3 linked regions of the Xenopus tropicalis genome follow. The protein of the gene in region 3 interacts with the protein of the main gene of each other region in a biochemical or structural test. Links are inferred from orthologs where the notes say so. Each region holds a gene or a part of one and is shown on either strand. Other genes may lie near its edges.

Evidence for each region. The genes of interacting proteins can lie anywhere in the genome.
Region 1: the proteins of rad51 (region 3) and rpa1 form a complex in vitro, tested with the Homo sapiens proteins (2 studies listed by BioGRID). The link is inferred for Xenopus tropicalis from reciprocal best matches to the Homo sapiens genes RAD51 and RPA1.
Region 2: the proteins of rad51 (region 3) and fbh1 form a complex in vitro, tested with the Homo sapiens proteins (2 studies listed by BioGRID, with this or other methods). The link is inferred for Xenopus tropicalis from reciprocal best matches to the Homo sapiens genes RAD51 and FBH1.

The regions. Positions count from the first base shown.
Region 1 is NC_030678.2:36,005,837-36,013,609, forward strand, and holds the end of rpa1 (replication protein A 70 kDa DNA-binding subunit), read right to left. Parts: intron 5,378-7,773; coding exon 5,291-5,377; intron 3,311-5,290; coding exon 3,200-3,310; 3' UTR 2,187-3,199; downstream 1-2,186. UniProt on the Homo sapiens protein: As part of the heterotrimeric replication protein A complex (RPA/RP-A), binds and stabilizes single-stranded DNA intermediates that form during DNA replication or upon DNA stress.
Region 2 is NC_030679.2:84,415,223-84,423,212, forward strand, and holds part of fbh1 (F-box DNA helicase 1), read right to left. Parts: intron 7,176-7,990; coding exon 7,095-7,175; intron 5,443-7,094; coding exon 5,348-5,442; intron 4,034-5,347; coding exon 3,865-4,033; intron 2,972-3,864; coding exon 2,749-2,971; intron 2,340-2,748; coding exon 2,252-2,339; intron 1,167-2,251; coding exon 1,080-1,166; intron 794-1,079; coding exon 657-793; intron 1-656. UniProt on the Homo sapiens protein: 3'-5' DNA helicase and substrate-recognition component of the SCF(FBH1) E3 ubiquitin ligase complex that plays a key role in response to stalled/damaged replication forks.
Region 3 is NC_030684.2:115,024,652-115,033,333, reverse strand, and holds the start of rad51 (DNA repair protein RAD51 homolog 1), read right to left. Parts: upstream 5,624-8,682; 5' UTR 5,589-5,623; intron 5,531-5,588; exon of another isoform or gene 5,431-5,530; intron 4,608-5,430; 5' UTR 4,075-4,607; intron 3,982-4,074; 5' UTR 3,974-3,981; coding exon 3,896-3,973; intron 3,467-3,895; coding exon 3,329-3,466; intron 2,863-3,328; coding exon 2,745-2,862; intron 2,477-2,744; coding exon 2,385-2,476; intron 1-2,384.

The sequences.
Region 1 (7,773 bases), on a different chromosome or scaffold from region 3:
CTTGATTCTCTTTTATGGGAATATTTTATTTGTAATGACTTGATGATGAGACATGGCTGGCGGGTAACAGAGCAGCAAGTAGGAGACGTCATAGAGCTTTCCTTGCTCAAGGTTAATGCCTTCACTACTTACATTGTAATTTAGTGTGTAACCAGGCTTGCCTACTGTGCTAGTATAATGGCTTTGGAATATACAGGTACTTGTGCCATTTATATGGCACAGTAGTCAGTGGCTAAAATGTGTAAATGTATTTTGTAGAAGAATTTTCAATGCACTTTAGATTGCAAACTTTTGGAAACAGGGCCCTTAGAGCATATTTTTATTGCAACCCTTGTTTGTAAAATCAACTTAAAGTTGAAGGTATGAAAATGGCAGTATGCATATCACCTAGCAAAAGCCATAAAGGCGCTAATAAAGGCACCAGCCTCAGGTCTCACTGACTTGGGAATGCACTGAACCATTTATTTGCATGCTGTCTGAGTGCATTCTCACATAGGCCACTGGCAGTGAGCAGCATGTACACACACCACCACCAGGTTCTACAGATTCATGCCCTTTGCTCTTATTTTAGGGAACTTCTGCCTTGTTCACACAGTCCTGACAATCTTGTTGTTCCTTGCTTAAATCAAAAGGGACCTTTTCCTCATGTATTTAAACTTAACTAGAACCATGAACCAACAGGTAACATTATATTTTGCTTGGTAGCAAGGGCAACTAAACCTGTTTAGTGGTGTCTAGTTTGTACAAGAGAACCCAAACCATCAACCTTTCATTGGATCAACACTTAAAAAATATATATTAAAGGAGAAGTAAAGGTTAAACTATAGGTTGGTGCCAATGCGTTGGATATCCCCTAGGGAGTGAAACAGCTAGTGGCTCAGGGCAGTGCACACTTCCCATAAAAATAACACTGGCCTAGGTTACTTTCTTGAAGAATGCCATACTGAATTCACATTACCAAAATGTTTAGGTGCATACACAGTATAGTACTTTTGGTGAGTTTATTATACTTTGCATTCACCTGCCTAGTGCAAATGAATTTCCATATTGGCTACAGACATTATTATTGCTATACAAACAGCTGAAAAATGTACAGTAGTATAGAAAGGCTGTCCTAGCCTATACTCACTGTTGCTTTTTTTTTTTTTTTGCCCTATTTAACTTGAATTACTGCCCCCAGGGCTATACTGCAGCTAATTTATATAAACCATCTAGTTATTTCCAAAGAAAAAACAATTCTTGCAAAGTAACAGCACATTATATTTATACGCATGTCAAACTCTTTCATTTTTGGTGTTAACCCAAGATTTTGACAAGCCCTACCATACTGATCAAAAGATATAATAGAGACAGGCTTGGACTGGGATTTAAAGTAGGCCCCGGCTTTTAAAGTACACATAGACCCAAACAGGCATCTTACAGCAGCACCACTGGCATTTGCCAGAATACAGATTGCCAGTCTGGGCCTGAATACAGAGCATGCTATTGAATATAAATATCGTATTTCCCCTATACACCCTGCTGTAAGGAATAATTTGGCCTCTGATGAAAGACCCTTGCATGGGGCTGAAACACACTGAGTTAGCGCTTACGTTTGGATTAAAACCATTTTAGGATTTGAGAGTTCTTTGCAACATATCCCTAGGACTAACACACGGCAAAAGACCATTTTTTGAGGCAGCAAATGTACCAATTTGTTACTGTTTTCTACATCTTAATGAAAACGGTGGGTGACATTTGGAAAGCTGTTTCAGTTGTAAATTCTGTGCCGCCAAGGAAGGCCAGGGGAAAAAAAGCTAAATGACGGTAGTACAGACTTGGATTCTTTAGAACACTGATTTCTGTAGCAGATAAGTTATCCAAAGGAAGAAGACATGCAGTGAATATAATGAAGCCCTCACTGGGGCAGCACAGAGCTCCTAATGCATCCCACCAGCAGAATTACAGTTTTCTAGGCAAATTCTAAATCCTTCCTGCTTTCCAAGGGCTCTGCACATGTCAATAAAAGCATGCAAAAATGCTGTCTCAGCTCTTTAAAACCAGTGAAAGTCAAGAATCCTATCTGAGCAAAGCAAATGGTAATAATGCCTGGGAAATATCAGCATTTCTCACCTTATTCCACCAAGAAAATATTAATTGCTCTCCAGTAGAAACAGGGTTATACAAAGGCAAACACACATGCAAAATTAAACTTTTTCTTTTAATTTTGTTTAGGGGATAAAAGGAAACCCCTTTCTTTGCATTATAACTACAGCGATTAATTCAGTCATTGAGAAAAGAAAAAAAAAATAGCAAAGTAGTTTAAGTGTAGGAGAAGCAGTAAATGTACAAACGGCAAACTTTGGCAATTACACACTGTCAAGAAAAGGGGAGAGTAAGAAAGCAAAATATTAATTTAAATGAAAAATAAAGCAAAGCTTTGTAGTTGGCCAGATTTCCCCAGGGGGCAGAGAGTCAATGCTTATCAGAGCTCCTCAGAAGAGAGAATTTTGATTAATATCAGGGCCATCTGACTCAGTCTATTAAACCCCGAAGGAAAGTCTTCAGATAGAAAAGATAGGTCTTTGATTAATAATTCTTCCATATTGTCATTCCAAGCGTTAGCAAACAGTATGGCACATCCATCCGGCTGATGCAGAAACTTGCAGAGGAGGTTGGGAGCCCCAGGTCTTTTACAGGAAGACAGGGAGTCCCCAAACAATATACTACTCATGGCACCTAAAGCCAAAAGAAAGGAAGCCTTCCTTAAAGGTAACTACATACTTGCACAAAAGGAAGGGCACTCACAAATTATGCATTCAAAATTAAAATGAAGCAAACAAATGTCCAATCCAGTTCTTCCATTACCTCCTCTGCATCTGGGATACATACAGAATTAAACAGTAAGCAATGACAAATGCAAATGACCACCCCCCCTTGGGGATTCTGCTGGGGGCCTTTTCTCATCCATGAGAGCAGTAGAGAACGCTTTGCTTTGTTGATGAGAGTTTTAAGGAAAGCAGAATGAAAAGAATGTATGCTTATATCTATTCCGGCTCACTTGGTCTAGCTGGACACTCTGGGGAGCAAGTGCTAATGGTTATATCATTTTGAAGATGATGCAGTTTAAGCTTCAGTGCTTTAGTATTGGTCCATCCATGAAACATTTTATTTTCGTTCCCATATCTTTTAAGTGATTTATCACGGTCTTTATGGCAAATCAGACACCTTGAGCTGCCATTTTCCTAATGTTCATAATCAGCCTTCTAGAGTATTCTTTGTGGTCAACGGGCTTCACATCCATTGCTGTGGCCTTTATACGAGATTCATCCTTTTAAACAAAAATACACTGGTTAAAGACTAAAAATGAAGACATTTAAAGACCAACTTAAAGCTTTACAAAAAAAAATAAGCTAGAAAACAAGGGTTCCTATCGGCTCATAACAAGGTCAGAGTAAAACAAACATTATACATTCAGCAATAGTTATAAGAATATCTGCAAAGATCGTTTTTCACTCTGTCTTAGCCTAATTAACCTTGAACATTTTCTTCTAGGTGTATCTAAAAGAGCAAATAGACATACTCCTCCAAATCTCCCCAGGTCACTGTTCTAGGCCACCATTACAATATGGTACGGTAACCAGCTTAAAGTTATAGCAGTCCCCCGACAGAGTCATGCCTCAATAGGTCACTGTGTGGAATAGAGTAAGGGTCATTTCCCTGCTGCTGCATCCCCACTAAACCCACTTTTTCCCAAGGGTTCTGCCTTGAGTCAAACACAACACAGCATTGTGCTCCTTTGATGTACCACAGTCGGTGTCAGTGTAGAGATAAAAGCTAACACACATCATGCCTCCACCTGTTTTTGCAGGAGGTGGAATCTGCTCCACCAATTTAATCTGAAATTTTACACAAGCAATACAGCAAGTCATCCAAAGAAGCAAAGTTCCTGGTTTCTTGCACTCTGCCAGCTCATGCGCTTTCTTCTGTTCAGACGGTTTAGTATCTGTCAAGCCTTGGAATATATTTACTGTCTCCAAAATTCCTGCTTGGATTAATAAACTTAGGAGACGTTAAGTACCTATTAACCTAATATCTTAAAACTTTAGCATATTCTGCATTATGCATGCTGAATAAAATGCAGTCTAGTACCTTCTGACTTCTTAATGTTGTACAATTTATTAATCAAATTTTATGATTCTTTAGAAATGTAATAAATACTCAAGGCCACTTTACACCCACATAGAATTCTGCCACTACCACACAGGAGTTAAATTAACTGAGCACATCCTTAGAAGGACAAGGAAAGTCTTAATAACTGGTCTCCAGTTGTTAAACATCCTTAAACGATTAGAACCACTAATCTCAGAGCCCAGGCTGGTTCCACTGTTGGCTTAAAAAATTCCCTGACCCAGGGAACTACTCTAGTAAGTAACATGCAACCATCTTGTTTCCCGCAAATATGTGCAGCAGAGCAGAGTTCAGTGTATAACTTCCAAATTTTCAAGGTGCAGAATATAAGGCATTTTGTTTATTTGCTAGATTTATTGTTGAGGTATGGAATTACCCAGATTTTTGTGGAACCTGGGGTTTTTTCAGATAAGGGGGATCACCTAACCTTAAGTCAACTAAAAAAAAGCATTTCAACATTAAACAAACTCAATAGTACTGTTCTGCCACAAATGTATGGAGTTTAAACAGTATCTTCTGCTTCTTGGTAACTAATTAGTATAGCATAGCAATAAGTATCAAAAACATTATTTGCTTAAAATGGACCATGATATAAGGCCTTCTCTCATGGTTCCTTCTTGTAATTTGCAGTTTTGTATACCTGTAGAAGCAAAGGCCATCAATACAATATATTGGGAAAGGGGTCTAAATCAAAGGATCAATATGTAAGCCTTTGGACTATTTCATTATTTTAGATAATTAAAAAATGCCAACATATTCCATAGAGACAAACAGAACATAATGGATATGAGAACACAGTTTATGAGAGCTTACAACCTTGCAGTTGAGGCATAATAGTACCTATGCAATTGTTTAGGTGCTTCCATGCATCCAACACAAAATGCTCTGACATTTCTTCCAGTATGTGGTTGCTGGTGAATCAGAAGACATGCTGTCTGTACTGCATTTTACCATAAGTTGCTGTCCTATGGTTACTCAAGCAAAGCATCATAAAGTGCAAAAACACAAAAATAAAATGAAGCCTCCAAAATGAGTGAGTGCAGCAAAGACCACTGAGGGAATGTTTGGTTATTACAAGTAAACTAAAAGGGAGTGAACAGTATAAGTAGAATATACTTACATTGTATGTCTCTAGCTTAACTCGAATCCTAAACGTGTAAGAACGGAAGTTGGCATTCTGAAACACCTCATCATAGGCTTGCTCGTTCTGCAAGTAGAGCAGAGAAATGTTTCCGTTAAAGGACATATCAGCCAGCAGAAAGCTCCCTCAGTCCGGGACCTAATTGCACCTTTAAACTTGTCAAAATAGCTCAGCAGTCATGAGAAAAAAAAAAAAAGTCCTTTCCTCTCTCCCCAGAAGGAATTTATTCAACAAAGAATGTGCTCGCTGTAAGTGTGGACACCCACAGACTACTTTTAAATGAAAAGCAGCAGAGAGCATTTTTTTTGCTGGAGAGATGAGGAAAAGCAGTTAGCATTCTGATAAATAGAGACAAAACCTTCAAGATGTGAAAAAGGCTTGTTAGAATCACTTATACTCAATAGCCTCTGCTTGCTTCTATAAACAGATATTCATGCTATAAACTGGGCTCTAGTCCTTACACAGCAACGGAACAAGGCATCTGTCTGGGTTTTTACACAAGATTGTTTATCAACAAATATGGTGGAGCAGTGAAGGTAACTTCAGAAACCTTTGCTTTCCCAACACAATTGCCTTTTAATCTGCATCTATCTACATACAGAGAAGGGTGACAAAAATAAAACCCCATCTGCATTCATCTTTTACATTTTAATAGCTGATTCAGCAAAATTTTAAATTCTAATAGGCGATTAAAAAAAGAAAAATCATAATGCATTAGACTCCTGTTACAATCAGAGTGCAGTGCCTTCTCTAAAGAAGACAAATTGCGAACAAGCCTTTCTATTGCAGACATGTTTATGTACTTTTAGTACAATGCATTAGAAAAGGCTCTGAATCCACCTTTGTACAGGTATGGGATCCCTTATCTGGAAATTGTTATCCAGAAAGCAGGAATTTCAGGAAGGCCATATTCCACAGAATCTATTTTGAGCACATAATTATAATGGCTTTGATTTTTTTTTTCTATAATATTAAAGCTCCAGGAAAGCATATTGCTGGCAAAACAATCCAATTGGGTTCATGTTTAAATGTTTTTTTAGTGGACTTAAAGGAATACTGTAAAATACAAAAGCTTCTCCAGCAGAATCCTGCATTAAAAATCTGTTTTTTAAAAAAATGCAAACAGATTTTTTTTTATTTAATTTTGAAATTTCACATGATGCTTGTCATATTTTTCATTTCCCAGGGCGCCGCAGCCATGTGACCTGCGCTCTGATAAACTTCAGTTACACTTTACTGCTGCGCTGCAAAAGTTGGAGTGATATCACCCTCCTCCCAGCAGCCGATCAGCAGAACAATGGGAAGGGAGCAAGATAGCAGCTCCCAGTAGGTATCAGAATAGCACTCAATAGTAAGAAATCCAAGTCTGGCTTGGGACTCCTCCAGTTACATGGGAGTAGGAGAAAGAATAGGTTATCTGAAAAGAGTTCTAATGTGTAGCGCCGGCTCCTCCTAAAAGCTCAGACTCAGACACAATGCACTGAGATGGCTACACACCAATATTACAACTAAAAAGAAATACATTTGTTGGTTTAAGAACACCATTTTAAATGGTAGAGTGAATTATTTTCTTTGCCATGACGACATTATCCCTTTAATGTATGAACCACAATTATAGACCCCTTTATCCAAAGTATTCTAGATAATAGATCCCATACTTGTAGCTGCGCAAATTGAAGTTTTAAGATGGAAAGGAATGCCCGTCCTGGCCATAAATATTGCACAGTACTAGGTTAGCAGAAGTTCATCATTTGACAGTGTTTACCCTTTATACTGTGGATAAGCCTCATGTCCCATAAACCCTAACAGGAAAACCTGAAGCCCTTCAGTTGGGGCTCAAATAAATCAGCTGAGGGGTTGTTGTGGTAGGACAGGATTTGCCAGAGAACATTATTTAGTACAAATCACTTTTGGTGGAACATCTACCTAACAGGCCTGAGTCCATACAGACACAGTGAAGAATTAGGTGCAGTTTGCATTACCCGATACAGATGTTCTAGAGGCTGCACCATAGAAAACTGCAGTGTTTTGAAAAATATAAAAAGGCGTTGTCCTCTGGATATGCTGAAAATGACAGGCAACAGTTGCTTAAATTGAGTTATGTTTTCCTTTTAACGGTGAAGACAAAGTGAAAAACTGCACACGCAATTAGTTGCAGAGACTAACACAGTTCTCTATGGTGGGAAAGTCGCTGCAATTAGTCGCCACAACAGACTTTTAAAAAAAAAAAAAGTCAAGGCGACTAATCGCCCCATGTGTCTTTGCCCTTAAAAGGTATAGTTTGGTATTACCCCTTTTAATCTACAGCTAAAGAGTACATGGATCAGAACGGTGTCTTTTTTAAATTAATCTTTAAATGAAATCATGATTTGCTTTCCTGCACACAGATTTTTATTTTTCCATGCTGATCTCTGTCTTCCCTGTGGTTATAGGCTAATATAAAATGGAGGCTGTTTTTGCAA
Region 2 (7,990 bases), on a different chromosome or scaffold from region 3:
TTATACCTCTTTCCAGGTTTCAAATGGGGGTCACAGGCCTCAGAAATCAAAAAACTATTGCTCTGTGAGGCTACAATTTTATTTTATGAATTCCTGGTAGCTAGGCCAAATAAGACCTAAAGCAACTTATCTACAACTAAGCTGCTAAAGTACCAAAACAGAGAACTGATGAACAAAAAGCTAAATAAATCATAAAAATGAAGACTAATTGCAAATTGTCTCAAATTATCACTGTCTACATCATACTAAAATGTAATTTGAATGTGAACTACCTCTTCAGTAGGATAACAGTTAAAGATTATTGACAAGCTACAACCTTCATGGGAGAGTGTCAATTTCCAAATCTATTTTACAAAAAAGTTTAAAAATGTACATTTGCATGTACATGCAAAGTTAAAGCAACTGTGCATAAAATCTACAGACTAACACTGTGGAGAAAATATTTAGGTGCAGGACTAATTCACCTATTTAGAATAAAAATAAATCCAAAATCAATGACCAACAATCACCTTTGTTGTAACCTTTTAGGATCTTAAGGATTATATAAATTAATCATTACATACAGATTAAACAAGGCTAAATCATTGTACAACATAGAGAAAAACAAATATAATCAGAAGTTCGTATAATAGCGAAACTATTCCATTGTATGTTACCTGAGTGAGGTAGAAGATGTGAGTGTGTGGAACTTCACAAAGAGCATTGACAGCCCCACGAAATGTATAAATCTGCTGATGAGGGTCACCAACAAAAATCTTCCCACAGGGCTGAGAAAGTACTACATCCATTATGGCTGCATTCAAATAAAAAATACATTTGCAAATAAAAAACTCATTTAAATTTCAGTTGGTCCTGATTATAAATGTATCACAAGGAAAACCATAAAATATGGACAAAAGTTTATCATAATTCTATTTAATCACATACATGAGCACTTTATTTGTAAAAATGTATACAAACTGCTCACAAATTACTGAATCCTGGTAAACATCTCCTCCATTTATCAAAATCCACACTTTGGACTATAATATAGACTTTTTTTTTAATCACATGCATTACTTCATTACAGACTTACAAACCTGGCGTGCAGTCTTGAGCTTCATCAACAAATACTGCATGATAACCTGTGAGGCGGGGCCTACGTAGCTGCCAAAGTTTCAGGTAGCCTTTGGGAAAAGAAATGAACATTTATCTATAATAAGAGGCTGCAGAGAGTTGGTTGTGTTAGTCACAATGGACTGGGGAGATGTAATCCTTCAATGGGCTGTAGTACCATTTTCATGCAGCAATTTGTACACAATTCACTGAAATGTTCCTGTAGACTTTCTTTGGAATGTGTCAATATCACTTTAAATTGCTGTACTGTCTTGTTCCTTATTCTTTCTATCCTGTCTAACTAAGCATTCCTGGCACAGATCAATATTCTTAAATCCATCCGTCACTTTTTAACATGCATTCAAACTTTAGTTGTACATATCATTTTAACAGCTATATGTTATGAATAAGAATTTCAAATATTAACAGTATTTATGTATACTATTCTTTTCCACATTGTTGACTCGATTGATGCAGCTAAAATCTATCAGTACCATACTATTTTGCTCAATTACAACTACTACTGGCACAAGTGCTTTGAACACTAAGGGGGCACTCCTTAAGGCCAATAGTGGCCCTACATGAGATGATAAAAGCTGCTGACTCTTATATGTGTAATTGCTATAAAAACAAAGCCTATCGCAATCAGATATCCTAACCCAAAAACTGATGGACATGGTTGAGTAACAGGTTAATAAAATCCAATATTACTGAAAAAGGTCCACCAGACCAGCTAAGGTAGCACCAAATCCTTATTTGCAAAAAAGAAACAATTATGTGTTTTTCTCAAATGTGTGGCCTAAAGTCATGTGATATTTAAGGTTTGGTTCGGCCAGGCACTTGGATTCAGACGAATACAAATCCTGGTGAAAAAGGTTCAAATTTGGATGAATCCCAAATGAATCCTGGATTCATTTTACTATTATTCTTATAACTCATATAAATGAGAAAAAGTATGAGAAAACTTAATCGGGGGAGAATATTATAGCTTACAGAACAAAAAAGCAAAAATAGGGGGACAGAAGAAAAATAAGTAGAAGAACAAGAATAATAAAAAAAAAAAAATGAAAATCAAAGTCAAAGGGGAAACCATAATGGACAACAGGCCATAAAACAAAAACAAAATAAAAATAATAAAACTGTTTTGCTTACGAACCATCGGGCGTCATTTTATAAGCAAACTGTCTGGTTTCCTTAAGGAGTTTCATCTCCCTCCATATCTTAGAGGCTTCCCTTACAGTAAACTGGGGAACAATCAAGAACAAATATCAATTAATAAAGTTGGTCATCCATTGTTTTCACCACTCAAACTAATATCGCACAAAGATATGACAGTGTGAAATACCCCTAATTTTTCCCAGGTAATCAGCAGTGCCAAAACTACTAAAAGCTGACTGGTGTCACATTAGCCATAGACGCACAGTAACATAACATAGCTTTATTAAATAGTAAACAGTTATTAGATGAGGATTATTACCTTTCTGTTTTAGATGGCAAAAATGAATTACAAATTGTCAAAAGGTACTCAAACATCTAAATAGATAACAGCACAAAAAGATGCAGCTTCTACCAAACCTCAACAGTCGTTAGTTGCACAAGCTTAAATGAGCAGTGGAATACTCAGTTTTTCAGATTTGATGTCAAAGCACTCACCAGTTTTTCTTCTTCTGTCACCAGCACTTGATTTCCACGATTATTTTTGCACCAGATAGGAACATGCTCTACATCTATATTTTCATCAGCAGAAGAGAAGAATGTTTCAAGAGTCTTCACAACAAGCTTTGCCCTGATAAATCCAGCCATTTTTTCAGGAAGAACAAAGTTTACTGCAAATGGTGTCAGCTTGGAGTGGTTTAATTTATTTCTATTTTTATACCTAAAAGTGCAATAAATATAGAGAAAGGAATTACCTGATACATTTAATTTACCTTTTTACTTGGTTATCCAAACTTTGCTCCAAATCTAGTAATCCATAGGAACAAACAACAGGTAGTTTTTACTGGTCTAATGGATTAAAGCACATGAGATTGCTGCTGTGGTTTATTAGACCTATATCTGACATTTAATATTACATAACCGATTTAACGCACAGTTCATTGTAAAAATAAAGCTGGTTGCAAATTAAAAAATGTTTTCAATATAGTTAGCCAAACATGAAATCTATAAAGGCTGGAGTGAATGAATGTCTAGCAGAACAAAACATCCTCCTTTGCATCTCTCTAATGGTGACTAGAAGGGGGGCCACATGGGGCATAACAGTTCTGTTAGCTCCTGTTCTAGTCACCAACTAACAGATTAGAGAGACACAATGGAGTAAGTAGTGTTCTGACTATTATTTTAGACATACACCCATTCTAGCCTTTATACATTACATTTTCAACTAACAATATTGAAAACATTTTGAAATCATTTGAAAACGGATCCTTTAATTAACAACTTCATCATAACAGCAATCAACAACTTCCACAAAACAGCAATCAAAATGTTACTTATGGCCATATGAAACAAAAAACTAGAAGTACAGTGACTAAATAATAAATGGAGAGACAAATAAGCAAGTTATAGGCCACACAAACCTAAAGGTCTTCTTCTACTCTAGGTACATGGTCACTACTTTTAAGGGACAAAAATAAGAAAAAATTGGCGTGAGAAATTCCACACACTGGTTTGCTAATATTTAAAAGCTATTTCATATAGATTTACATGATTTATATTTTTTTCATTTAAAACAGATATGAACATGGATTCGACAGTAGCAGTAAAACCTACAATACACCAGTCTGTGTAAAGGCCAAAGAATGGAAAGTCCTGCACTTCACATTCCTGGGAAACAGCAAGGCAGCATGTTCTGCGATAGACCTGTTGAATGTGGCATATAAAAATTGAAGGTGAGGTCTGCTCTCTGCATACTTGATCAGAGTTGACGTTTTTCCAGTACCTATAAAGATACAAAAACAGATATTTTAATATAAAATTGTGATGGAAAACATGTTCACAAAAGCATAATTAAAACATGATCTTTCTTACATAAGTAATTCCGTGCATAAACATTTCCCTTCCAAATCAACAAAACTCAAGGAATAAAATTCAAGCACAAAAAATGTAATATACATAAATATTTTCCTAGTATTTTACTTTGAATAATGTGTATGGCAGCCATAATTATCCACATGTGTTCTTTAACTTAATAGCTAAATCTACCAAAACAGGCTGTTAACAAATTGAGAATTATGTCACAACATCTTCTTTTAGGTTAGTCGATAAATTAAATAATAGAAAAAAAACCTTCTGTGACAATTCTCATGTGCAGTTGTGTGAATAAATACCCACATTATAAAGCATACATGATAGAGTCAGCTCATTAAATGTTCACTATATCAAACATGGCTGTCATTTATTAAATCAATAAAACTGAAAACTTCAACCTTTGTTAAATGTGCCCTTTATAGTTGGCATAAGCCACCTCAGAAAGCTCCCTCTCTCCGTGTTTTAACACCAATGTCCTCAGTAAATCCTGTATGTACTAGTGATATGCTGGTCAGGCTGTCCCAGCACACTACATGGGGGTAGTGGGATGGTGGCAGGTCTAACTAACAGTTCCTACTAGTAACCAACTTTAGTGACATCTCTGTTTTGCACCAGCCCCTTGATGACATTAACACATTTATCAACCCCCTCCAGTGATGTGTCGACTAATATCCCTCCTACCTCTGACATTAGAGGGGGAAGGGTTGTGTATAAATAGTGCTGCAAAATGTTGGTCTGGTTTTGGTTATTGTGGGTTAGGGTCAGGGTAGGTTAAAAAATTTGCAACCTGCACATCACTATTATATACTCATACTCAGTTCAGCTGTGTTGTGGGGGGCCAGTTGTGGGAACTTCTGTGCAAACACATTTCAAAAAGTTGCTGACAAAAGATTTTTTCGCGCAAATTGTATTGGTAACGGAAAAGTCGCGACAATTTCTGAAAAGTCGTAAAGGCGACGAAAAAAACGCAAAAAATACAAAGAAGTCGCAAAATGTTCGTTTTCCAATCGGAATTTTTCCAATTCGGATTCGTGGGTTAGTAAATGTGCCCCTAAACGATCTGATTTTAATGTATCTGGACACCATATTATGTATTTATGTTTTTATTGTTTATGTGTATGAGCACAGTATAACATTCAGCTAGAATCATATGAAAGATGGGAATTAAACATTTTCATCCCTTATAATACATTATCCCTTCATTATGTTTTGTCTTGATTTATACCTGCAAAAGCCATGATTTTCACCACCTGCCCAGGAGCAATGTCATGGTTTATTATTTGCCTTTGCTCTTTGGTTAGATTTAAGGTTGGTCTCTGCCTAGGAATAAAAAAAAAAAAAAAAAAAAATAGGTGGTTATAAGAATACTGTTTTACTGGTATGGGATTCCTTCTCTGGAAACCGATTATCCAGAAAGCTATAAATTAGGGAAAAGTCATCTCACATAGAGTTCATTTTAGGCAAATCATTTTGTTTTTCATTATTTCCTTTTCCTCTGTAATTATAGCATAATATCTTGTACTGGAGGCTATCTAAGCTGCAGGAATTCATAAAAGAGGCAAATGATTTCACTGGGAAAGGGTTAATCCCTGGGTTGATACCTGGGCCATGCTCTTGTTAGCAGTAAACTGAACCATCTCAGGGTTTTTATGTGCAAGCAACACAAAGTGATCCTTTTCCTGCTTCTTCTTTTACTCCACTGCTCATGCGTCAGCCCCACAATTCTTTCTTCAGAATTTTAAAGAAATAAGAAGCAGAAGAACTGGACTGTTTTGTGGAGGTCCCTACAAAGATCCCCAAACCAGGGCAGATGAGAAATGGAGACCAGGGAGATTCAGGAAGTAGGGACAAACAAAAGGACATTAGGGAAGTTGTAGCAGAGTTGGGTATAGAACACAGAGTGCAGGGAGAAAAAGCAAACCAGCAGGAAAAAGGTGCAAGGACCTCCTGGCAAAGCCACATAGTTCTATTTTTTATAGAAAATTTTACCTTTTTGGTATGACTGTTTTTGCCTGAGTTTAAATAAATGGGCATGTTAAATTTTTGATATTCTGTAGATTTAGAAGGGTGGTTCACTTTTAAGTCTATTACAGAATCTCTTATGCCAAGCTCTTTGCAACATCCTCTTCTGCACCTTTCCAGTTTTCAATAGAGGGTCACTGGCCCCAGCAGCTATTGCTCTGTGAGGCTACAATTTTATTGTTACTTTTGATTCAGTCCCACTCCTATTTATATTTGTCTCTCTTTCAAGCCACTTTTTGGCTGCTAGGCTAAACAAGACCCTAGCTCCTGAAATTGTTACTGGAGAGCGGCTCAACAAAAAACTAGATAAATGAAAAAAAAAACCCCACAAAAAATAAAAAAATGAAAACCAAATGAAAATTGTCTTAGAATATCACTGTCTATGTCAGGGGTCGGAAACCTTTTTGGCTGAGAGAGCCATAAACACCACATATTTTGAAATGTAATTCCATGAGAGCCATACAATATGTTTAAGCCGGGCCCTCGATTTGCGGCTGCCTGTGGAGGATGATGTGGCTTCAGGCCTGTTTGGCCGGGGATGCTGCTGGGCAATGTAGGATGGGTACCAAGGATGCTGGATGCGATGTGAAGGAGGGTGTGGCCTGCGCTCGGCCGATAGAATACGTGTTCTATGCCTTAGAACACGTCTTCTATCCACCGAGCGCAGGCCACGCCCCCTGTAATTTTTATTATTAAAGATTTGGCAGTGAGCCAGATGCAGCCATCAAAAGAGCCACATCTGGCTCCCGAGCCATAGGTTCCCTACCCCTGGTCTATGTCATACTAAAAGTTAATTTAAGGTGAAAAACCCCTTTAAGCACTGAACAATTCAGTGCCTTAAACCTGAACAATGTGACCCCCTTAAATGGGAACCATCGGTCTGTAATAAATATGCCTTGCAAATAATCTTTAATAACCAGCTGTGTTTTAATTCCGTAGCAAATACTCACTCTGATTTAAAAGGAAATGTTTTTGGTGGAGCACAGCTATTTTCTTGAAGATATAAGCAATAGATAACATTGTAGTAAATCCTGGAGGGAAAAAGTAAAAACATTACACTTAAAAGTGTCCCAATACAGTACTATAGAGTTGTGTAAAATAAAGTTAAACTGATACTTCATGTTACTTCTATGAAGATAATCATTCATTTTTTTTTTAAGAACTGTATTAAGGCAAAGGATGAAGACTATAACGTGTCCAAAATCATAAGTATTCAGGACCAGAGATATAGAATATATACATATAAATACGGTATATACACAGGCTTTGAATACATTATTATATAAATACAGTACCCTGAAAAAGTATTCATATTATTATCTATTTAACTGAAACCGAAAAGCTTCAATGAAATGTTAATCTCTGTAAATTGTTTTTATATCAAAGCAGTTAACTGAAGTTCATTTTTTACTCCGATCTTATTATATGTTAGATAAATTTAAAAAATGGTGTTGGCATAATCATTAAATAACTATGTTTTAATATTTTGAAAAGGCAACTTTCACAGTAATATAAGCTTAAAGTATTTTGAGTAGGTTATTACCAGCTTTGCACGCTGTTTGGCATAAATTCTTCCAGGCAGATTAGCTTCAGGTTGTTCAGGTCTTATAGATGTTCTTTTTCAGTTTTTAAATAGGGCCCCAGATTTTCAGTTAGATAAAGACCAGAGCTTTGTTTTTTTTTTCTCTAGTTGACTGCCCTGCTTAAGATGAACTTTTCTCAAAACTTCATGTTTTTGCAGACGGAAACAGGTACTTTTGCAATATTTTTCAGTATTGTGCACCAACTATATTTCTTTATTAACATGATGTGCAAAGCCTTCTGATGAAAAACATACATAAACTTT
Region 3 (8,682 bases):
TTCAAGACTGGTGCCCTTTAATCCTAGTTTTAAGCAATCTGGTGAGGAGCCCATATGTGCTTTGCCACAGGGTCATTCCATCATATACATTATGGCATAAGATTCACATGAAATTCTGACACTAGTAATAGGATATTGCACTGTTTTACAAGCAGTCCTTGGCAGCTCATTGCCAGCTGAATGAGTGCTAGCCATTTGTGCTTTGCTATAGGAAGGTGCCAGTATTACTCACCAATCACACTGGGCTGGAGGTGCTGTGATCCATTAATCTGCTAAAGCACTGTTTTCATTTGTACCCCAGCCCAGTATGACCAAAGGAAACACATTGGCTGCCTTCTGTCAGGATCGTCTAACAAGTACCGTCAAGTAGTGTGGGAAGGCTTATGTGAACTTTTCTAGGGAAAAATGTACTGCAAATTATTTTATAGCAATCACATATCAATCTAAATCACAAATTATTACTCTATAGGAATACAGTGTGCTATAATCATATGATTTTTATCCATTCTTATTGCTGTAGGGGAGTCATTTAAGAGAACAAATACTCTTGGACCAATGATTTCTAGGTTAGAGTGGGTGAGAAGTCATTTAGATTGCAGTAAACCTAATAAATCAGCCAGGATCTATGGAAAAGGCACAAAATGCAGAAGTGTCCACATGCACCACAGCAGATCTGCAAATGATTGTTAGTAGGAGACTGGCCTCCTTATTTGAGAAATGCTGGCTTTATAGCCATATTGATTCCTATTATTCATAAATGCTACACAAAAGGATTTCCAAGCTATGACTTTCTGTAATCTAACTACAACTCCAAGGTGAAGTTCTTGTGTTCAGGACTAATTGTTCACCAGTAGCTAAAATGCCTTGCACTGGGTTATCTACAGTCATATGAAAACGTTTGGGATCCCCTCTTAATTCTTTGGAGTTTTGTTTATCATTGGCTGAGCTTTCAAAGTAGCAACTTCCTTTTAATATATAACATGCTTTATGGAAACAGTAGTATTCCAGCAGTGACAAAGTTTATTGGGTTAACAGAAAACATGCATCATAACGAAATTAGACAGGTGCATAAATATGGGCACCCCAACAGAGATATTACATCAATACTTAGCTGAGCCTCCTTTTGCAAATGTAACAGCCTCTAGTAGCCTCCTATAGCCTTTGATGAGTGTCTGGATTCTGGATGGCAGTATTTTTGACCATTCGTCCATACAAAATCTCTCTAGTTCAGTTAAATTTGATGGCTGCCGAGCATGGACAGCTTGCTTTAAATCATCCTATAGATTTTCGATGATATTCAAGACGGGGGGCTGTGACGGCCATTCCAGAATATTGTACTTGTCCCTCTGCATAAATGCCTTTGTAGGGTTTCCAACTGTGTTTAGGGTCATTGTCTTGTTGGAATATCCAGCCCTTGTGTAACTTCAACTTTGTGACTGATGTTTAAACATTATCCTGAAGAATTTGTTGATACTGGGTTGAATTCATCAGACCCTCGACTTTAAGAAGGGCCCAGTCCCTGAACTAGCCACACAGCATGATGGAACCTGCACCAAATTTGACAGAAGGTAGCAGGTGTTTTTCTTGGAATGCAGTTTTCTTCTTCCGCCATGCAAAGCACTTTTTGTCATGTCCAAATAACTCCATTTTTGTCTCATCAGTCCAAAGAACTTTGTTCCATAATGACTGTGGCTTGCCTAAATGAGCTTTTGCATACAAGCGGCTCTGTTTGTGGCATGAGTGCAGAAAGGGCTTCTTTCTCATCACCCTGCCATACAGATGTTCTTTGTGCAAATTGTGCTGAATGGTAGAACGATGTACAGATATGCCATCTGCAGCAAGATGTTCTTGCAGGGTCTTTGGAGGTGATCTTTGGGGATGCCAAATAAAAACTGTGATTGGCTATTTGGTAGCCCCATGGACTGATGGCCAGCAGAAGACTCTGCTTGGAATAAAACTGTGTCTCTATGCTTCCAAAACTAAACTAAACTAAACTAAACTAAAATGGACACCTACTTTGAGACCACTGGGAGCAACATCAAAGGGGGTGGCGAGCAATATGTTGCTTATGAGCCACTGGTTGGGGATCACTGCCCTAAACCATGATACTGAACAATCTTTGTTTTCAGATCTTTTGCGAGTTGCTTTGAAGATCCCATGCTGTCACTCTTAAGAGGAGAGTCAACTGGCCATTTTAAATACCTTTTAAATAATCTTTGTTCAGAAAACACCCCAGTACTCATATGTTCCTGGGAAATAAGACATACCACTTCTCTTTGTTGTTGGAAGGGGAGTAAATTATTATGCAGGATGAAAGGGGTTCTCATACTTTTTCATATGACTGTATAACTTAGGGCTTTGTAGGGTGCAGAAGGACTCCTTACCTGACAGGTGACAGCCAGGGTGTGACACAGCTGAGTCTTCCCAGTGCGAAACTCACCAAACATCTCTGTGATAGAGCCCGTTTCAATGCCCCCTAGTGGAAAAAAAAGAATTTGCTTTTTATTAACTGAATTACATTTTTCATGCATTACATTTAAACATTAAGGCTCATATGGCCCTGATATAAAGGGTTCCTGCTGGACACACCCGTAATAGGTGCCAGCAACAGTGTTATTCACAAGAAACAAACATTATTTGTAGAAACCCAGGTTTTTAGACAATTGCAAGAAAACAGAAATAGCTTCCTATAGTGTTAATTACATTATAACCATAACCAAGACAAAGTGTAACAGAGGCTGCACCTTGCAGAAGCTTGTCGAGCTCTTTGGAGCCAGTACTAATCTGTATGATTTCAGAGCGCCTCTGGTGAAACTCTGTGGCTGTAGTGAATCCCATGGGCACCAGTTTGGCGGCTTCTGCCTTAAATATAAGCAAAACACATACAATTTCACTGTTAGCATTTCACAATCACCCACTGTAAATATAACCCACATGGTCAATCTTGCGTCCCTCCTGGGCACAAGGAGAATGACAAAGAATAATATATATATGAATTACCATCCCAAAGGTCTACAAGGATGATTGGGCATGTTATTGCCGTAAAGGGCAAGTTTTTCAAAGGAAAATGCAATCTCATAAATATTACATATATCTATTATGCAGTACAACACAAATAAGCAAGGATTCACTGCTTATTGATTGACTATTAATGCACAGAGTTAGCCAGCCCTTACCAACACTATTCAGGTAGGCACAAGGGAATAAGTAGGTGTTTCATGTAAGATACTTTTACTGAATAAGAAACCATTTCTGTAATGATTTTGGCTCTTTACACACAGAAGGGGCAACCTTTTCACATGAGTAAAGGTCCATTTGATGAACTTACCAGGATCTTTTCAGCTTTAGCCTCACTAATGCCTTTGATATTGATCAGTTCCTTCTTTGGAGCATAAGCCACTGCTTCTACTGTGTGGAACCCAGCTTCCTCTAGTTTCTTGACATCATTTGCATTTATCCCACATTGCTGTTGGTAAGGGAGACTTAAGTCAGAAACGATCCAATAACTACTAAAACTTAACCAATTGGAAATTAGATTGCAAGCTATTTAGGAGTGTAACTGACAGTATGCAGAGGCAGATGCATTTAAATACCATCAACAACATCAAAGGGATTTAGGAAAAAACATGCAAATTAAAGCTACAAACAGATATCTATACAAAAATCTGATTCAAAGTAACTTTTTGATATACGTTTATTAAACATTTTCAATGGATTTAAAGTGCTATCTGGTTGTTTATTCACTGCATTACTGAATCTGGCTCCTAAAACAATGTAGAAGAGGACCAAACAGCCCCCCACCAGCCCAATAAAGAGTGAGTTGTCTATGGCATCTTACAGCAGCCCCTCTGGCATTTGCCAGAATTCACAGATGGCCAGTCTGGGCCGGTTTTACCTCCAGTCGGGATATTGCCTGTGGCCCAAAATTCTCCTCTTCTGTGGCTTCTGCTTCATAGTGAGCTTGCATGGCCATTTTAATCACTGAACAAAAACAGAGTAAAAGGTCTTGCTTAGTATATAACCATGAGTCTCTTACTGTAGTATACAACAGATAAATGCAACAAAACCAAAGACCTTGTACACACAAACGGTATTGTGTTCTGCCTCTCTAAATTCCTTCTTGGTTTTCATCAGCTGGTGGACTGTAAGAGCACTTAGAGTGATGGACCAGGAACTTAGCACCAGGTGTGTTCCACTGACAAATATTGGGGCATGTTATTCATTTGTTTGGAATGCAGCAGTACATATACACTGCTACTGATGCAATTATAACACATCTTTAAATAAAAAGGAAATTCTCAAATATGAGAATATTTAAAAGTGTGCTCCGGAGGAAGGACAGTTATTCAAGGGGTAAATTCCTTATCCTGAGGGGTCCTTCCAATGAGATGGTTCTTGCAGATAAAGTTCATACCAGCACTGTCACTTTACTGTACAGGGCTTTGGAGGGAGCAGCAGAGTGCCATGTTCCAGTCTGATCAATGACAGGGAGCAGGCTTCTGATTGGAGGGGGCTTCTGTGTAGGGCATTACCCCTGCAGTGTTCCTCTTGTCTCAAAAACTCAAAAAAATCAAAAGTGCTCAGGGATCCTTTAGCTGCATATTTACCTTTAGGGTACAAAAAAGAATATTTTTTTGCAATAACATGATACGGTTTACTTGCTAACTGATATATTTGTGAGTATGCAAGGTTTTGGGGGGAAAAAGCATTGCGGGCAGCACAAGCAGTGATTTGGAGTAGTTAGGAGTGGTACCAACCATCACTTGCTGCAGCAGTAACTGAAAATAATCACTTGTGGAACCCCTTGTCAGGAGACTGTCTATTGGACAGACAAAAGCCCCCACAGAGGGGTACAAAACAAGTACAGAAGACTTATAAGGGGTAATGCAATAAATGTCGATAGTAAACATCTTTGCCCACATCTAGTTACCCATAGCAACGAGAGGTTTGTTTTTTAAAGAGCTGCCGCACTACATGCTTCCTGTCAATCAGCTGTTACTAGGCAAGTAGCACATTGTTAGCAGGCTCATTATGTACCACAGGAATACCCAGCGCTCCCACTATTGGCAGCCACACTTTCTATGGGTGATAGACACATCTGTAGTAAAGCAGTAGCCGGAGGCACAGCAGGTAGGCCATGTCTGATTGTTGACCTTCCCCCCCAGGCCAAGCCAGTGTCTTCCGCCCGTGGTACCGCTCAAACACTACAGTAGGGAGGCGCAGGGAATTGTCCAGGAACTACAACTCCCATAGTTTCCCCAGGATAATCGCCTGCAGCAGCAAGTCAGGAATTTTTAAAAAAGTATATAATACAGCCTGGCAACCCCCACCCCACTGCCTGGCAACCCCCACCCCACTGTCTGTTCCTATAGTCACTTGCGTATGAGCCAGGATCCCCTATACAGTGTGTAGCTTCAGTTACAGCGCTACCTGTTACACAACAGCAGATAGGCTCCCCTTTACACTACATGGGCTCGCCAGCAGCCAGAGAGCAGGTCCCACTCCCCCTCAGGGGCAGAAGCGCCAGGTTCCGTACCCACTAAGAACCCTCAGGCAGCAAGAACGTCTACCCAGTATCAGCCACTCACCCAGCTGTTCCACAGGCCCAGTCCGAAACTCCCGCCGAACCCTGCGTGCTACGTCACACGTCTAGCACCGCCTACTTGAGAGTCTGTCCGCCAGTCGCTGTAGCTTACGGGAATTCTGGGTCCTGGCGCCGAAGGGTAATGTCTATCCATGCCTAATCCGGAAGTGCCCGACTCAAAAGCATTATTATGGGCAGAGTAGATAGAAGAGTAAAGGTGGCCATAAACTATAGGCCAGGACAGGGGCAGTTTTACCAGCAAACAATGTCTAGACCTCACCCACGATTAAGAAGTCTAAGGGGCATATTTATTAACCTATGTGAAACTAATTCGCCAAAAAAACAGCATAAAAAGTTGTGTAAAATAAACAGAGAAAAGCCATCTTAATGCCAGATTTTTTTCCATAAGTTTCAGTGGAAGAAAAAACACATTAAACAATTCCGCTGATTTTACGCCGCTTTTACACGGCGAAGCCTGGCGAATTTTCTCGCTGTTTTTTACACAGCAAAATAAATATGCCCCTAAGGGGCATGAAGCATTACCGGCGATGTTGCCCAGGGCAACCAATCAGGCATTAGATTTCAATAGTTAGAAAACCAAAGCAAAGCATCTGATTGGCTGCTACAAACAACTTCACCATTAATGTTTTACTCCACTTTTTACACAGCATGATAAATATACCCCTAAGTAGTTCAGGTGGCTCCTCAAACAGTAGTAAGGTTTCGCCACTCCCAGTATAATAGTACAGTGTTGCAAACAGAGAGAGCCTTTCTGTCAAACAATTCAATGGTTTGCTGTTTGACAGAAAGTCTCTCCAGTAGACTATTTGCAACACAGGCAGTTTTAGACTAGGGCACCAGAATCTTAGGGCCTTTCCTGAAGTAACGTGTAATGTAAATGTGGTAGTGTTCACCTTGGTTTAAAGAAGGAGCAGTATTCTAAGGTAGTTTGTAGCATTAATTGTTTGAATATGTTTTTGTTCTGCAAGTCTTAAGGTGGCCATACACGAAGCAATTTTCAATCTTTGCACAAAAGATTGTTCCTACCCTCCACTGACGTTCAGGGCTGAATCGTCAGATATGGAGGTAGAAACAATAGAAATTCTACCTTCACCTGCCGATTCAGCCCTGAACGTAGATTTGATCAAAATCTTTTAACCTGGCCGATCGACAAGCCGCAGCCTTGTTGATCCACCATACACACACCGAATATCGTACGAAACAAGGTTTCATAAAATATCATCGGTGTGTATATGGCCAGCTTTAGGCTTGGAATGTCAACTTCTGCCTAGTTGCTAGGGCTTACCCTAGCAACCAGGCATCAGAATGGAAGATCAATAGCAGAAGTACAAAAATCAAAAGCTGTGCAATGCTATTCAACTGTGTATGCTCCCATCTGCACCTGAATGGTGGTCAATGCAAACTTCTCCAAGCCATGGGGCCCTTACTCAATGGTGATGGAAAGTGCATGTATTCAAATTGCAACTTAGATACACCAGGATATATTCAGATACAGATCTGCCCAGTTATAGTTACAACCCAGAGAAAAACGGAATTCATTTGCTCTGTGCAATTAGATGTGTCTGAAATGTAGGAATATTGTAGGGGGTGGAAAAAAAAGTCTATGTGTAACGGCCCTAAAAATTGGCAGTGGCTTAGAGGGGATCTAGACGCAAAAACAAATTGGGCACAGGGAAAGATGAAATTCAGCATTTATTAGGGTGAAGACACATGGAGCTACTTAGTAGCAGCTACTTTTTCACAGCTACTAAATGCCAGAAAATACCCTGCCATAGACAATTCTTAGAATTGCCTAAGTAAAATGATCAGCATTATCTGTTTTAGAAGCCGTGACAGTCTTCAACCTATGATCTCTCTGAAACTACAAGCAGCACTGCCATGCACTGTATATTAAGTCACATTCATTTGGTTTCACAAAGGGACATATTTATCTATGTGTAAAAGCAGATCATGCCACATTCTCCCAGAGCAAAATTCCACCAGGATTTTTGAAGATCATAAATGCTCACTCTCACCCTTTGATAAATATGCACCTGAAGATATGATCTTATTATGGAACATTTGACATGCATGGTATTCTTCTTAGAAGAGCAAAGTTATAGGGGATACAATTAAGATGCCTAATTCTATGCAAAGTCTGTATAAACATTTGGCAAGTGAGAACTCACTAAAGCCAGCAATACATACCCTGATTTAGTTGGACAAATCTGACCAATAGCAGCCACACTGCCTGACTGGGGGCATATATTTTAGCTCAGAAACAGACCATCCTTTGATACTGTCAGATCTCAGCTTACCCATCAGAACTGTACATTTCATCTGCCAATGCACTTCTTAATTCCATGAGATGAAGCTTTTAAACATTGCTTAACATATAGACTTGTGTGTATTGCATACATTATTTTTTAGGCCATTGCACCTAAACATGAAGGTTATGGGTACTTGATACAATCGCCAATTTTGCATCACCGTAAACTGCACTAAATTACGGTTATCCCACAGGTTGATCAGTCAGCCACCCTAGGACTGCAGGAAAGGAGATTTCACCAAGAGCACAGAAAGGGTTTCTTTACTATATGAACATGAAAGTTATCAAAGTCACTGCCTGTAAAAGTGGAAATGAGCTATTCATTCTGGAGTTCAGAAGAGGTAGGACGCATTGCTAATGGATCAGGGTATATATAATGAGTTGTTAATAAGTAGTGATCAACCCAGGAGCAAACCCATTGCTATTTTGGCACCAGGATTAAAGTTTCCTGCCTGTTAGGCTAATGCTTGCGAATGGTTTGCTTCATTGGACTTCTGTTATTTCCAGCCTTTTCTCTGGTATTGTTATAATTTGGGCTTCAATCAATTTAAAATGTAAACCATTTAGATTTAATGCCAAATCAAATTGCACAACAGACAGCGCTTTATTAAAGCTCCAATGTACATTAACCAAACAACAATTTAAAGAACACTAAAATATTAAAAGAAAGGTCAAACTCAGCCTCTGCATCACAATGGCACAAGGGCCAATATACACACACAGTAGAAACTGGGCAGGCTTTAAATTCTTAGTATATAACATTCATCTT